Linked DNA regions of Coturnix japonica. The protein of the gene in region 3 purifies or fractionates together with the protein of the main gene of each other region. This does not show direct contact. Links are inferred from orthologs where the notes say so. Each region holds a gene or a part of one and is shown on either strand. Other genes may lie near its edges. The genes, in order: MAP1S, RASSF3 and STK4.

What was found.
Region 1: the proteins of STK4 (region 3) and MAP1S purify together in Homo sapiens (affinity purification with mass spectrometry; 3 studies listed by BioGRID and IntAct, with this or other methods). This does not show direct contact. The link is inferred for Coturnix japonica from reciprocal best matches to the Homo sapiens genes STK4 and MAP1S.
Region 2: the proteins of STK4 (region 3) and RASSF3 purify together in Homo sapiens (affinity purification with mass spectrometry; 5 studies listed by BioGRID and IntAct, with this or other methods). This does not show direct contact. The link is inferred for Coturnix japonica from reciprocal best matches to the Homo sapiens genes STK4 and RASSF3.

Annotation. Positions count from the first base shown.
Region 1 is NC_029543.1:2,348,726-2,354,281, reverse strand, and holds the start of MAP1S (microtubule-associated protein 1S), read right to left. Parts: upstream 3,167-5,556; 5' UTR 3,120-3,166; coding exon 2,984-3,119; intron 1,746-2,983; coding exon 1,644-1,745; intron 765-1,643; coding exon 682-764; intron 595-681; coding exon 454-594; intron 146-453; coding exon 1-145. Other genes in the region: cocaine- and amphetamine-regulated transcript protein-like, read right to left, coding at 3,672-3,779, 3,867-3,986, 4,224-4,562. UniProt on the Homo sapiens protein: Microtubule-associated protein that mediates aggregation of mitochondria resulting in cell death and genomic destruction (MAGD). Plays a role in anchoring the microtubule organizing center to the centrosomes. Binds to DNA. Plays a role in apoptosis.
Region 2 is NC_029516.1:30,589,290-30,594,747, reverse strand, and holds the start of RASSF3 (ras association domain-containing protein 3), read right to left. Parts: upstream 3,367-5,458; 5' UTR 3,352-3,366; coding exon 3,183-3,351; intron 1-3,182.
Region 3 is NC_029535.1:4,575,347-4,580,217, forward strand, and holds part of STK4 (serine/threonine-protein kinase 4), read right to left. Parts: intron 4,848-4,871; coding exon 4,710-4,847; intron 4,247-4,709; coding exon 4,118-4,246; intron 3,686-4,117; coding exon 3,632-3,685; intron 1,915-3,631; coding exon 1,728-1,914; intron 1-1,727. UniProt on the Homo sapiens protein: Stress-activated, pro-apoptotic kinase which, following caspase-cleavage, enters the nucleus and induces chromatin condensation followed by internucleosomal DNA fragmentation.

The DNA.
Region 1 (5,556 bases), on a different chromosome or scaffold from region 3:
TGCAGCCTGGGTTGTAGCGCAGCTCAATGAAGTCCTGCAGGTTGTGATGGTCCAAGCCCGAGTCCTTCCACTCCCCAAAGTCAGGGCAGCTGATGGTCAGCCTGGCTTTGGCTGAAGGGTCTGCGGAGCTCAGGATCTCCCCAACCTGTGAGGGGAGAGCTTCAGGCAGGGCCCTGCTCACACCAGGCAGCACCCAGGGTCCCTCTGTATAGGGCAGCTCCCTCCCCAACACACACCACGCAATCTCTGGGCCTTCACTCAGCCCTGCCTCACTCCCAGCTATAACTGTGTCCCCCAGTCTCCTTTATTGGGATTCAGAAAGCAGCCACCCTCCCACCAGCCTCATGCTGCAGAGGGAGGGATGCGCCCACAGCACAGACAGCTCCGCTCGCTCAGCCGAGACACCGCAGACGTGAGCAGACAGTGCCCCCCCCCTACAGCCCGGCCCCTCACCTCCTTGTCAGTGAAGATCTGGATGAAGTCCCGCAGCGAGAAGCAGCCGGTCTGCAGCATCAACTCTCCCGTCTCCTCCACGCAGGGCCCAGCAAACACCAGCAGCTTGTGCTGCGACACATCCGTGATGAGGTTGCGCAGCTGCAGGGGCGTGAGGACACGTGAGGATGCTGCCCCCCTGTTCCCCCTCACACACCTTTTACATCCCCCCCCCCCCTTCCCACTCACCTCATCACACAGCGACTTGTCGGAGGGGTTGAGCAGCACCAGGGTCTCCAGCACATCACCGCGGTGATGCAGGGTCCGCTGACCTGCAGGGACAGCAGCTGCCACCCATCCCTCCCCAAACGTGGCAGGATCATAAGGACAACCCCCCTATACCCCCCACCCCAGGCTGTGTGTGGGTCAGGGGGTGACATAGACATGCCCAGGATGGGGATAGAACCTGTTCACTTCCCCTACGGAAGAGGGACAGCTGCCAGCCGGGACAGCAGGGGATCTGCTGCACTTCCCATCTCCTTCCTGCTGCAGGAGGGGGGGCAGGAAAGGGAGCAGCCGGGTCCCCCAGAGGATCTCCATTGGCTTCAAGCAAACACCCACCCCCCCAGGAGCCAAACACAATGTGGACATGGGGTACCCCAGCCCCACCAAGGGGTGGTGAGCTGCAAACACACATGGGATGAGACACGCCGGCACCACAGTGACCACACAATCCCACCAGCATCCACCCTCAAGGGGAGGAATGAATGTGGCTGTTGGTGTAGGAAGCAGCTTCCCACGTGGGAATCACGGGGCTCAGCCCCAAACAGCAGCCAGGGATGGCTGAGATAAAGGTACAGACACATAAAGCCCCTTCACCACCACCACCATGTTGGCCTCTATGGCTGTGATGGCTGTCAGCACCTCCTCCCCAAATCCAGCTTCCAGAAGCAGCGAAATGCTTGTGTAGCAAAGAGCATCTCATCCCATCTCATCCCATCTCATCCCATCCCATCTCATCCCATCCCATCTCATCCCATCTCATCTCATCCCATCCCATCCCATCTCATCCCATCCCATCTCATCCCATCCCATCTCATCCCATCTCCTCTGGAGACGCATGAATTAATCACTGCCATGGGGTCAGGTAAGGACCGTGGCACTCAGCCCCATTGCTGTGCTGTCCCCAGCTCTAAGTGTCACCTCGGTACCTTTAACGATGCTGGAGAAGGTGGCGGAGTGACGGGAGACAAAGAGCTTCAGCTGCTCATCCAGGTTGCAGGAGGTCAGGTCGATGTCCCAGGAGCGGATACCTGCAGGATGGGCATTGCCTGCTGTCCCCATACACACAGCAGGCGACAGAACCCCACTGTCCCCACTCCTCACCCTCTCTATTCCCCACTGCAATCAATGGGGATAGAGTGGGGACTTGGGTGTGATGGTGGCACTGCTGGTGTGTGCTCTGTATGCCATGATGTGACTCACAACCCCAAACCCAAACCCTGAGGCTACGGCAGAGCCTTCCCAGCACCTCCTCAAAGGCGGTGCTAATGAATGGGATTAACGGGGTGAGAGCTGCCATAGAAGGGAAGGGAAGCCTCCAACCCATTGCAGCTCCAACTAATTGGACCTATAGAGCAGCTCCATCTCTCAGGGGGTCTTTGGAAGAGGAAGAAGGGGGGGGAAGGGCTGCCACCACCATCACTAACGGCTGCTGATGGCGCAATGAGCCGCAGTGTGGGGTTGCACAAAGAGCTGCTGGAGCCGTTCTCTAATGGTTCCCCATTGGCTTTGGTCCCCCCCCATAGTGACACATGGGTGTCCCCAGCGTTGGGCTGCTCCGGCATTGAGGTATCACAGCTCTGGGCTGGCAATGAGGGAGGAGCTAAGACCCCCCCCCAGCATCTCTTCCTACACAAAGCAGCCCCCAGGGATGGGAGGTGGGGGCAGATGGCTGGGACTAAAAGAGGGGGGGCAGATCACAAGGATATGGGGCAGATCACCAGGTTATGGGGCTGATCACCAGGATATGGGGCTGATCACCAGGATATGGGGCTGATCACAGGGATATGGGGCAGACCACAAGGATATGGGGCTGATCACAAGGATATGGGGCAGACCACAAGGATATGGGGCAGACCACAAGGATATGGGGCAGACCACAAGGATATGGGGCTGGACCCATAGATATGGGGCTGACCCATAGATATGGGGCTGACCCATAATGTGGGGCTGACCCATAGATATGGGGCAGACCACCAGGATATGGGGCAGATGGGGCAGATGGGGGAGATGGGGGAGGTGGGGGCAACATAGGAGATATAAGAGAACGGGGGCGGACCGCGGGGGTGGGCAGGCACTGATTGATGCTGGCGCTGCGTCCTCCCCCGAGCATCCATATGGAGGGGGGCGGTGCCCACAGCTCCCCCCACATCCCACGACGACCCCGCCCCAACGACCCCCCCCTTACTCCCCCTCCCCCCCCCTCAGGCCTTTTGATGTGGCCGGGCCCCGTCGATGGGGCCGCAATAGGATGCAATATACGGCTCACCTCGCTCCAGCTGCTGCAGGGCGGCCGCCAGCAGCCCCGGCCGGTGACATCCGCCACCCACGATCGCCAGCAGCGAGAAGCGGCGCGGCCCCACGGTCGGACCGGGAGGAGCCGCCGCCGCCACCGCCGTCGCCATCTTCGGCGCCCCCCGCAGCCGCGCTGCCCGCCCCCTTTAAGCCACGCCTACTTTTTGGCGTCAGCTCCGGCGAGCCACGCCCACTGACGTCACCGCTGGCCAATGGGAGGGCGAGGTGTGAAGGGAGAGAGGGTGGAGGGAGGGGTGGGCTTAAAAGGGCGATGGCGGGGTGGGGCCGTCGGGTGGGGCCCGGCTCTGGGACCATAGACTGCAGTGTATCATAGCGCTGGGTACGGCCCCATTGCATCCCTATTGCTCCCACCCCCCCACAGCTCGGTTTAGAGCCTGCAATGGCATCACTGAACCCCCAAATAGCAGAGCCAGGCGGTAGCAGAGGGTCCAAGTGGTTTAATGCGACCCCCAGGGATCGGTGAAGGCACTGAGATCAACGGAGAGAAGCAGATCTCAACGTGGGGAGGGGGCTGAGACCCATAGCCCCCCCCCCCCATATCACACAACACAGCATGAACCCAGCAGCATCCCAATAGACGGCAGCATCCCAATAGACGGCAGCATCCCAATAGACGGCAGCATCCTTGTTGTCCTCATCCCTTAGGAGCAATGCAGGATGTACAGGTTGCACACGGTGCCGGGGGGGCAGCTACAACGCTTCCCAAATCGAGCCCCCACCCGCACAGCACAGGGCTCCCCGAGGTGGCACTGTGAGATAAGAGCTGTCACTATCAGCAACAGGCCTGGGTGCCCCCCCCCCCCCAAAGACCCCCCCAAAGACCCCCCCGGCCCTACCGAGGGGACCCTGCCCGGTTTCTTGGTGCTCGGTGGCATCTCCCTGTGTCGCAGTTTCTCCAGCACCTCCTGCAGCGCCTCAACGCCGGCACCTCTGGCATCGACCCCTCGGGGCAGGAGCTCAATGGGCAGAGAGAGAACAAAGAGGTGAAAGCTGCTCATCCCCACACCCCATTCCCACGTGGATGGCCCTTTTCTAACCCAAGCTATGAGATAAGCTCCAAAAACCACCCAGGTTCCAACACCACGGACCCCCCCGTCCTTAAAACCCTGCCAACGTCCCCCCAATGAGGGGTACATACAGCAGGGACCCCCCCCCAGCCCCCAGCCCTCAGCCCCCAGCCCTCAGCCCCCTACCAGCTCTGGCTCCTGACGATGTGGGGCTGCCCACAGCCCTCGTTCCCCCCCATTGCCCAGCGGGACGAGGCCGGCGCTGGCTGCACAGAGCAGGCAGAGCCACGCAGTGCCCATCTTCCAACGTCCATCCCCAACAATGCGGGGCTCAGCTGCCTTTATCCCCCCCCTCAACAGCCCGTGGGTGGTGGGCAAACACCCACTGACGCAGGCAGGGTCTCCCTCCTCACCCCATAGTCTGTCTATGGGCTGTGTCCCCCCCCCCCCAACAATAACCCAACACTGTGCTGAGCGAGGGGAGACATCCCTGCGGTGCCATCCCTTGGGATGTGGATGAGCCATAGGATGGACGTCAGCGCTGTGTGCAGCCCGGGGGCCAATTCATTGAGCAAACACAGCTATGGGGGGGGGGCTGCACCTCGAGGCGGGGGGGCAGGAGGAGGCAGGAACGACCCCCCCCCCTCCTCCTCCTCCTCCTCCTTAATGCCAATGGCTGCAGCCTCAGGACCCCCAAATGGGCACTGCTTTGCCCCCCCCCAAGGCTTCAAAGCCCCCCATCCCTACCCCACATCAGGGCTGTATTGAGCTGACAGGTCCCTCCAAGCCCCCCCATGCCCCCCTATGAGTGTGGGGCTCCATCTGAAGCTCAATAAGGGGAGGGGTCCCACATTACAGCCCCCCCCCCCCCAGCCCCACGCTGCTTAAGCCGAGGCCGCGGCCTGGCCGCTCTACACGTGACTCCAAGCCCCGCCCCCTCTCCTCGTCACGCGGTGCATTCTGGGTAACGCAGTTCTCCCCCGCCCTCAAAGCGGAAGTGGCTGCGAGCTTCGCCTCCATTTCCCATCGTGCATCGCGGAAGCAGCGAGTTGTGGGTAGAGCGCCCCCTACCGGCGGGCAGCGCTGGAGGACTGACACAACTCCGGCCACCAGGGGGCGCTCAATGCGCAGAGTGGGCGGGTGGGCGACCCCCAAATCCCCCCCCCTAAATAACACGGAGAGACCCCCGGCATCACAACGTGTCCCCATATCATTGCATGGCTGCGAACAGCACCTGGGGGGGGAAATGAATGGGGACGGGGGGGAGATGAATGGGGGGAGGGGGTGATTAATGGGGGGGGGGGGGTAGTTTCGGGGCGGGGGTTTCCCCGCTCCCACGCGCGCCCCACGTGGGATTTTCGCGCCACGCACCAATCCCCGCGCTTTTCCATTCAGCGTTCAGCCAATAGGAAGAGAGGGGGGCGGGGGCGCGCCACGGCGGGGTATAAAAGGAGGCGGCGGAGCGAGGGGCGGCTCAGAGCGATCGTGGAGCTGAAGGGAGCGGGGATATCGCGATAGA
Region 2 (5,458 bases), on a different chromosome or scaffold from region 3:
AACTCCTGTCCTTCTGTTGTGCGCACTGCTGACCTGCAGTTAACTGTCTGGGTACAGAGCTCCAGCCAGTCATGCCAGGGGTTCTGGTAAATGCTGCAGCAGAAGGAATCACAGAATCACAGAATGACCCGGGTTGGAAGGGACCTCAAGGATCATGTAGTTCCAACCCCTCTGCCTAGCAGGGCCAAGGAAGGGATGACTGTGAGTGCTGGATATGAGCTAAGCCCTGATTCAGGCTTGGCCAGTGCACTGTTGGGTGACAAAGAAAGCGAGTTCACCTCTCGGTGCTTTCCTTGGCATCTGGTTCACTCACAGCACTTCAGAGCAGGGTCTGCTTCTTCCAGATGAGGAGTTACTGTTCTCTGCAGATGAGTGGGAAAATGGGCTTAGAACAGCAAACCCATGGGAACACAAACCCTGGGCTGCAGTGTGATGCCTTTCCTGCCCACACGGAGCCCGAGAAATTCTGGTAATCTTGGTCTTCAAACAAAATAAAGGAAAATCTGAGAATGGCAAGTCATTAGAAAACTGCCCACAGAAAGAACGGGGAGGGAAAGAAGAGCTTTACCCCCAATCTGCTCCAAGGTTCTCACTCGTTAGATGAAACTTTAAGCCAACCCTGGAACACAGAATGTTTGGTGATACAAATGGTAAGTCTAGGCATAGCTCCAGCAACACAACCCTACATCACATGGGAATAAATACGAATGAACTCCTGCTGCCAGGATAGCTGAAAAGGTCTATTCCCTTTCAAAAAGCATTAAAACGTATATTCCAGAAATTGCTTGCCAAAAAAATATCCTTTGAAGGAAAAAAAAATCACTAATACCTGCACTTCCTTCTTTCCTCCACGTTTTACCTCTTTCTGTAAGGAGGAATCTATTTCTTTAACAGTGCTGCTAATTAGGAGCCATTTAGATAACGCACCATAATTTGTTCTAAGGGGCCTTGTGGTTTTCTAAAGGATGATTTAGAAGTCTTGTAATAAGGGAGATTCACCACACGTGATTGTAAAGCCTCCATCCTTCCCTTTGCAGGCTGGTACCCAGAGGACACCCACTTATCTAAAACTCTTAGAAATGCCTCATCTTCCAAACACCAAATGATAAGGCAAACAACACAAATACTCCAGGGCTGCTGTGCTACATAATGCTACATACCATCAAGCCGTCAGCGTGATGTAGGACGCTGACAACTATCACTACACAACACTCTCAGATTGAAAGAAAACTAGAATAGTAGAAGAGAAAATTGCTCTTTCCTGCACATCATTTCATTGGTTTAAGCCAGAATAAGCTGGGCTGTGTCTGCTCCCAACTGCTCTGTGAGGAGCAGCCAGACTGGGCAGCAGCAGTCTGTGCCTGCACAGATGAATGGCTTTTCCCCCCAAAATAGAGGTGAAAAGGCGAAGGGCCAAGCAAGTCATGAGCACCGCACCAGTTAAGGCCCCCTTGAAAAGTAATCCAGAATAACAGCAAGAGCTCAGATACTACCAAGCATCTTTTTCAGAGGAATCTCATTACCCTTGGCTTTCTTCCTGGGCTGAGGTCCAGAAATTCCGGTATTGCCTTATTTTTTCCAAGAAATATATTGCTTGAATAATGTGCACCTTGTGCACTGCATTTAACAGATGGTCACTGATCTCCTTGAACTCTTTTTTTCCATTCTGATCATTCTTCCCTGAGTTACATGAAGGTATTTTTCCAGTTTTTAGCAGAAGCTGGAAAACCAACTGATGGATTCCACACCAGAACAGCATGAGAAGCAGAAGGAACCTTCTCTTGGTGGTTCCTCATTCACTGCAGCCATCCTCCCACCTCACTTTATCACACGTACCAAGGACAACATGGAACCCCAGAGATAATCACAGCCCCCACCCGTGAAACAAGGATGGCAAAGCCCAGCCCTGCTATAACATTCTGCCACCACTCCATAGGGACATGGCAGCTCTTTCTGCTGAGACAGAACCCTGTTCACCTCAGTTTCCACATTCTCCCCCTGCTGTCCCCTCTGACTGCCTCCCCGTCCCAGGGGAACTCCTTACTGCTTTTAGTGCTTACCATGCAGGTCAACATCTCTGACTCTGGTCTCATCTGAGGGCAGCTGGCTACTGAGTGCCAACTCCAACAGGGTGACCCAAGTACAAGTAATACCTCCATCTCTCTGATTCAGAATCCTCGTGACAATTCAGTGCACAGTTCCTTCTTTACCTGCTGCAGGCCGCCTGGAAGATGCTGTCGTTTTGCTTTTCAGATAAGGCAGCAAAGCTCTCTACCATTGCCCAGAACTACCTGGATACCTCCCAGCACTGCCGCGCCTGCCAGGCAGCTCAAAGCCTCTGCCAGGAATTGGCACTGTAACTCCTGCTGTAGCTGCTGCTTCTCAAGGGGTGCTGACAAGGACCATGGCTTTATCCACCGGGGGTCACCAGCCTTGCTGCCACCCCCACAGCTGGGTCAGATGAAGAGTGTGGTGTGCACTGGTGCAGATGGGGATTTGCCGCTCTGCACCAATCTTTCAGCCATTTGGGTCCATCCACTCAGACCGTGGGGTGCCAGCAAGCACTTGGGCTCCAGTAGCGGTCTGTGCGTGACTTTGTTCCCACTCCCTCTCATCTCCATACCGCTTTATGGCTTTTAAATGTTACATCCATGCTAGGCTATAAATGTTGAATGCTCCCTGTGCTACTTTACCAGAGAGCAGCCACGAGGACTATGGCTGATAAAAATGGAGCTTGTCACGGAGGAGAAAGAAAAGCAGCGCGAGCTGTAATCGTGCTGAGAAAACACTGCTGGGAGATGCATAATCCAACATGACACTTGAGGGCTCTTGCCACAGAACAGCCAACCATAAAAGAAAATAATAGGATTCTTAAGGTCTACTTTCTTTCCCATAACCGCACTTACACGTCCTGTCGCAACGGTGCAAGAACTTAAATCATAAGAAATCATTAAAAATCGTATTTTCACATCGCTAGTATTTATTTCCTTTCAGAATATTAACTGTAAGAATAGAGCTGCGGGAGGTAATGACAGGAACCTGGTAAGAGTTCCTAACAACCTAAGGCTGCCACATCACCGCCGCTCCGTTCCCGCCCACGAAGGACGCGAGCCCCCACCCGGCACCGCACGGACGGGACGGGGCAGAAGGGCCGAGGGGTGTGTGTGTATGGGGCCGCTCACCGGCGCAGCGCAGGCCCTGCGAGACGACGAAGCGGCAGCAGAGGTCGCACCACGCTCCCGCCGCCGCCGGCACGAAGCGGTGCGGGGCGCTCGGAGGAGCCGGACGGCAGCAGGACGAGCCGGGGTCGGAGCCGAGGTCGGGGCCGGGTCCCTGTGGGGCCGCCGCCATGCGGGTTCCTGTGGAGAGCCGCTGAGCGCGGCCCTGCCCGCCGTGCCCGGGGCTCGGCTGCGTGCGGGAGGCGCCGCCCGGCGCTCCTCAGCCCGGTACCAGTGACACCGCGCGGCGCGCAGGGGGTGGCTGCGGAGCGTAATGAGCATCCCATAATAAGCCGCTTTTAGACACCGTGCCTTTCGAGCTCGGGTTCCCTCAGGAGGGTTCCGGAGAGGCGGGAGCGGCACGGACCCGCAGCGCTCCACAGTGCCTCAGAGCTCCTCCGAGTTACCGCCGTGCACGGAGGGGGCAAGAGAAGGACCCCACACGGACAACTACGGGACAACAAAATAATGCCCACCCTCTTCCATCCGGCCTTGTTAACCCTTATGGCGGCACTATATCCAATATTATACTACTGTTTACCACTATGACAGCACTTGGATTCAATTAGCGCTAACAAGAGGACTCCTCCACAGCCCAAGAACTCCAGCACTCCCACAGGGAGCTCGTTTTCATCATAACGGGTATCAGTTCTAAGGCAGAAAGGATGAGTGGATCTACTGGCAGCCATGCTGGGTGTTCAGTTGTCTGGGACACCACCAACTAATGTTGTGCTTTGCTGCTTCAGATGATGCCACGAAGATGATCAGGGGGCTGGAGCACCTCCCCTATGAGGACAGGCTGAGGGAGTTGGGTTTGTTCAGCCTGGGATGAGAGAAGGTTGCGGGGTGACCTCATTGCAGCCTTATAGTACCTTGAGGAGAATTAACTCCCAGGAGGGAGTTAAACTCTTCGAAAGGGCTGATAATAGCAGGACACGGGGAAATGGTTTTAAGTTAAAGAGGGAAGATTTAGGTTGGGATGTTAGGGGAAGTTCTTCACTAGGAGAGTGGTTAGGTCCTGGAACAGGCTGCCCAGGGAGGTTGTGGATGCCCCGTTGGAGGTGTTCAAGGCCAGGTTGGACGCCCTGGGCAACCTGATCTAGTAAAAGGTGTATGTTTGGTGGCCCTGCCAGGCAGGGGGCTGGAACTACATGATCCTTGAGGTCCCTTTCAACCCAGGTCATTCTGTGGATACTGTGTGATTTCGTGTGATTTGAAGCTTATTTCATAGGAGCATACAGGGAAATAAGTATTACAAAGTTTACTGAAATGAACAAAAAATGAAACTGGAAAAACAGAAGAAAGGACACAGCCCACAGTCAGTGGTCAGTGATGTATTTAAGTCATTCACTCATGCATTTTTCACAATTTCACTATGACGACAGATTTGTTTGAGTAACAGATAATTAATATACTACGCTAAACCCCCCAAAACAGCAAACCAGCTTCAGGAGGAAGAACCATATATTACTTTCTATTACTTCTTTTGGCAAATCAGTGGCATGACTGATAGCATCGGGACACTTAGCATGAGCCAAGAGTTCCATGGTATCACATGCCGCACCTCAACAGGAAAAACATACTGACTTCATAAGAAGGCAATCAGCGGATCACGAACTGATTACATCCTTAGATAGCGCTTAGTTAAAATTACTTTCCCTCAAGTAATTTTAACAAGATTAAGATCATCGATGTATTTAGCAACATTAAAACCAGCAATGTTTAAAATGAACATAACAGAACGTAAATCAGCTTCAACCATGAAAAACAATGCCGCACGTATTTCCATATACAGACAATATAATCACAATGAGCTTTCCCATTCAGATTGCTTCGGTATAAAGGACGTTGAAAATCACATATTCCAACTCACGCTAAGTTTCTCTTAAAATTCAGAGCCTTTGAAATAGCAACGGGTTACCAACATAATGTTGAAAATTATATATAAAGTCAGCAGTGCCTGTGGTTCACCTCTCCAAGATCAGGACTGGTTACATTACTTTTCTAACGCCACTGAGGAGGCACAATGCTGTCTCTTCAGCTCACTGCTCAAAAAACCTTTGTAAGATCAGTTTTTAACCTCTAAAAATTATGCCTGCAAAAAGGATTTCGGATAAAACGATCTTACTTTAAGAACCCACTTCTCTTGTAGTAAGCAACAAGATTTCAGGAACGTTCCCAAAGTGCTGTAACTCTACAAAAGGAGTTTCTACATTCAGTCTGACACCTGCAGTGCCAAA
Region 3 (4,871 bases):
GGGATTTTGTTCTCATAAGAGCAGAGTGTAGCTCAGAAGCTCACAGTCAGGAAGGTGGCACACAGCCACCCCAGGAAAGCTCATCTCTCCTGCTAATGCCACGCAAGAAATATCTGCACTTCTTTATTGATTTAAAGCAGGTTTTATTGTGAGTCATAACACAAGCTGCCAAGTAAAACACTGACTTCTTCAAAAATATGAATCAATGGAGCTTCTTCACATTCAGCTGCTTCCAAATACCATTATTACTTTTATGTTCAGAATCACAAAAGGAATTTGCTCCAGAGAGCTCTGCAGCAGGCAGATAAGCTTTACAGTTAAATCAATTTAACTGCACGTTAAGCAAACATGAATATGGAGATGGCTGCAAAACAGAGCTGTAGGCAATTCACGTGGAAGATACCTGCAAGCTGCTAAAAGACACTGATCTTCAATGTGCCTAAGAAACCATTACAGAACCTCTGTGTGCAGGAGCAAGAATGTCAGCGTTATGGTGCTGGGGAAGAAAGAGGGTAAGGTGCAAAGGAAAAGCCAAGTTTCAGTTTGGTACAATCATATTCATTAGTATCATATCTATTGGAATCGTTACAGCAATGCAGCACAACCCGCAGCAGCGAGCTGAGCACAGCCGGGTTTCACTGGATGCTCCTGTGCTGAACCTCTCACCATGGCAGTGGTACCAGTGTCAGACAGCACTTGGGCCCCGGGCTTCCAAGTGCTTCCTGTGGGATGCAGAGCTGCTCCAGCACTTCTGCTCCACGCCTGGCTGCAAATCCCAGCCGCAGAGCTACGCTCTTAGAGCTTGTTCTGGAGCTCCCTCTTGAGGCTAGATGCTAAACCATATTAGTAGGCAATACCCTCCTGTTTCTGCTCTAAATCCATGCAAAGGAAAGGTTATCACATGTGTCAAAGCTCTGCACACGAGTTTCTGAGTTACAAGCACTGCAATCTTAAAAAGAAGGTGAGAAAATAAACACCTATTAAGCACAAAGATCAACTGAAGCACCGCTGCGCTGCTGACACAGCTCTGATAGCCACTGCAGGAGCCCCATAGATAATCATAGAGTCACGAAGGTTGTGAAGACCCACAGGATCACCCAGTCCAACCATCCACCCATCACCAATAGTTCTCACTAAACCACATCCTTCAACACAAAGTCCAAACCTCCCTTGAACATCTCCAGGGTCGGTGACTCCACCACCTCCCTGGGCAGCCCATCCTACTGCCTCTGCTGTAAATCATGAAACAGAACAGCACACACAGTTTCTATTTGTACAGAAATAGTAACTTCATTTGATACAGAGGTGCTAACACATCCCATTCTCTTTGGCTGAGCATTAAAGTCCTCTTAGCATCTACCTGCCTCCTGCTGGTCACCTCACACCACAAACACCCAACAGCGTTATTCCCCTGGCTGTGTTGCATTGGCTGACACCTCCCCTTCTATTCCATTTCTAAAGCACTGGATCAGTGTTTGCTAAAGTCTGCCAAAACCCTGGAGCAGGTTTTGCTGAAATCTCATGCTAGGAGAAAGCAGTATCCCCTCACAAACACTGGAGGGCACCCACATAGGTCTTGCACAGACTACCAGCAATCAACATGGCATCACTTTAAATCTTACACCTTGTGATAAGGCTTACAGTCTTATCAAGTGTTTCTCTATTGGGATGGAACAAATTTCAACTTGAGCGCCTCAGAACAGTTTGTTCAGTTGAGAGATGCTTACTTTTCATGGTGCCCTCCTCCTCTTCATCTTCGGTGTTTATGACCATTGTACCCAACTGGGATTCCAAGGTGCCATCGTGTTCTATCATTGTATTGGCTCCATCACTCATCGTGTTGACCACCCTGATGGTACCGGTCTCATCTCCACTCGCCCTCACCATGGTACCCGAATCAGTTTCATCTTCCTCCTGTACAAAGATACCAGAAGTACGTTTTTACTGATGGTGGTGAAGTCCAAAGAAAAGTGGTTGTATTCACAGAGACTGGAAAATCTTACTAATTCAGAGATCTTGACAGAGACAGATGGAAACCAGCAACATTTTATGCTACGCACTAAGGTCTCTCCCTGATACCTCCAAATAAGTAAGGAAAACTCTTCATACTGCCAAAGTGTGAAATAAAAACAGAAACAATCACTGGAAGTTTCTCAACAGAACCAGCATCTCATTGCTGACCTGGTGAGCCAGCCCTAAATAGACTGCAATCCTCATTCAGTCAGCAATGTTTCTATTCGCTCTGCCAGTTATAACAGTTGATTTAAAACCCTGTCTTAAGTAATACAGTTCACTGAGGAGGCATTCATTACCAACAACAGCTCTCAGTCTGTATTGTGCGTGGTATACCATAAGAAAAGCCACTACCCTCCATTTTATAAGTCTGCTTGCAACATTTGAGTGGTTTTATTTCTATAAAATTCAGAAGCACTGAAGAAAACTGAACCAAAAAGGAACTAAATTATCAAAGTCTAATCAATTTTTTGTACCAGATGAAAACTATTTCTTACCCTACCATTTATTAACGGGTATCAGTATTGCAGAAATTGAATTATTGCTGCCAAAATTCAAGTGACTGAACCCACAAGAAAAGAAACTTCTGAAACAAGTTCCATCAGTAGTGAAGAGTGAGGTCCAAATGACTACAGTCTACTTAGTTTACCAGCAATGTGCAGCTGGACAACAGCAATAGAAATCAATTCCTAAACCTACAGCAGTGGTACCTGTTAAATGTGGTAAAACAAGTTTCTGGGCACCTCATCCTGAAAATTAACATTGAAAAAATAAAGCTCATATTTTGGTTTGAGGATTAAGTTCACAGTTCTTTAACCTATGTGTAAATGTTGGGCTTCCTGGTCTGAATTAGTGACAGAGGGAAAACAGCGAGTATTCCAGCTTGTTGGGCTAAACCTACCCCAATGTCACTGGCAGAACACCTTAAACATTCTGGTGTTCTACGCATTTTCTTTGCTCTGTTAAGCATGTCTGTATAAATGCATCTCCAAATATCAAAGCACGTGGAGGGAAAGACTATATAAGATGTTAATGGAAGAGAAGTATGTTTTATGTGGAGATGAATGGGTGAGAGGAAGCAATAAATTCCTTTGCTACACATCATTTAACAAAGAACCACAGCAGAAATTTCCACAGCACTTCCAAAGCTCTTGAGAACACTTTTCTGCCGGCAGACACAGAGAACAGAAGCTTCAGGAAAACAAACAGGCCTGGACAGAGACCACTCAGCTCCTCTGCAGAGATGCCACCTCTCTGCACCACCACCCCAGAAACAAATGAGAGACAGTTGGGACAACACTCTTTGGGTCAACATCGTGGCAACAGAGCCAATAAAACTACTTCCACACTGAATAAATACACAGTCCTAAACTGGAAAACTAGATGAACAGCACACATCTGTTTTTACAATGCAACACACTCCTCCTGTCCAACCTTTGGAAAGGACTGTGGCGCACGGTGCCTTTTGCTGCCCGTGTCATTTATTCAGGTTGAAGCAAGCAGAGGCTCATGAAACAGCTTTCAACATGCTTTCTGTATTCACATGCTGTCATCACTGGAACAAGGCACCAAGGACAGAAATTCACAGCAATCCCCTGCACGCTTGTCATGCCCTCACCTCATACTTCTGGCGGTTGCTCTTGTGTAGTACAAAGTTTCTATAAGGGATGTTCTAAAGCACAACAACAGTGAAACATAACACACTTATATCATAGTGCATCATACATATTAGTTTGTATTAAGAGAGCAATATAAGATCTGACTCTACAATGAAACACTTCTCACTGCTGCATAAATAATATCATCCAATCAGAAACTCATACTAAGTCTTTAGTATGTGCTACTACTTACTCATGGTCTATGGCAGGTCTTAGCTACACTCTGAACTAAATACAAGGTCATATTTGCTGACTGCCCCATTCAAACATAAAGGTTGAGCAGAGCTCAAACATCAAGTTAAGCAGCCCTAAGTACAAAACTCAAGAATCATATAAAACCCATGGGCAGCTGAACAATACATTATAAAAATAAGGAACAAAGCAGCTTAGCATTATGCGAGGTCCAAGAGGCTGAGCTCTGTATACTGTAGCTATTAAATACTCACTGAATTTTCTTCATCTTCTTGATCCAGTTCACGCTGCTGTGCCTCTTGGCGTTTCAGTTTTATATCCATCGCTTCGTTAATCAAATCGCGCAGGATTGATGCTCCTTTGGCACTCTTAACAAATGGATGCTGTGTGGTATGTTAAAGTTAGTAAGCACTGCACTTGAACTAACACAGAGCAGTAGAACATCATTACCATGGGGTTACTGGGGCTCATTCCCCACACACAAGCACTACTTATTCCTCACCAGCTCAATTGTCGACAACCAACTACAAATGCATGCACCATTCTGAGCAGTTACTTAGAATCACAGAATAGCTTGGGTTGGAGGGGACCTTAAAGTTCATCTAGTTCCTTTCTGGTGGGTTAAGAGCCAGTTACTTGGCATTGCTGGTGAGAATCTGAAGGTTAAAAAAAAACAACACCAACAAACAAAAGCATCCACAAAGACAGGATTCAGACTAGATCTTAAGGAAGAACTGAAAGGTTGAAGTTGGGTACAGGGTTTTTACATCAGCCAAATAGGCGCAGCACTGCCTACACTACAGCAAGCCTTCTCTAACATTCCCATTCTCCCAAGACAAGGCAGACCTGCAGGAGCTGTGTTGCAGTAGCACGCTGCTCGGGGCTCTTGACCAGACACTGCTTCACAAAGTCCGTGAAAGCATCTGACCAGAGCTCTGGTTTCCGAAACGTTGGGGGTGGGTTGGTAGGAATCATGAAGATTGCCTAAAAAGAGAAGAATATTCCAGG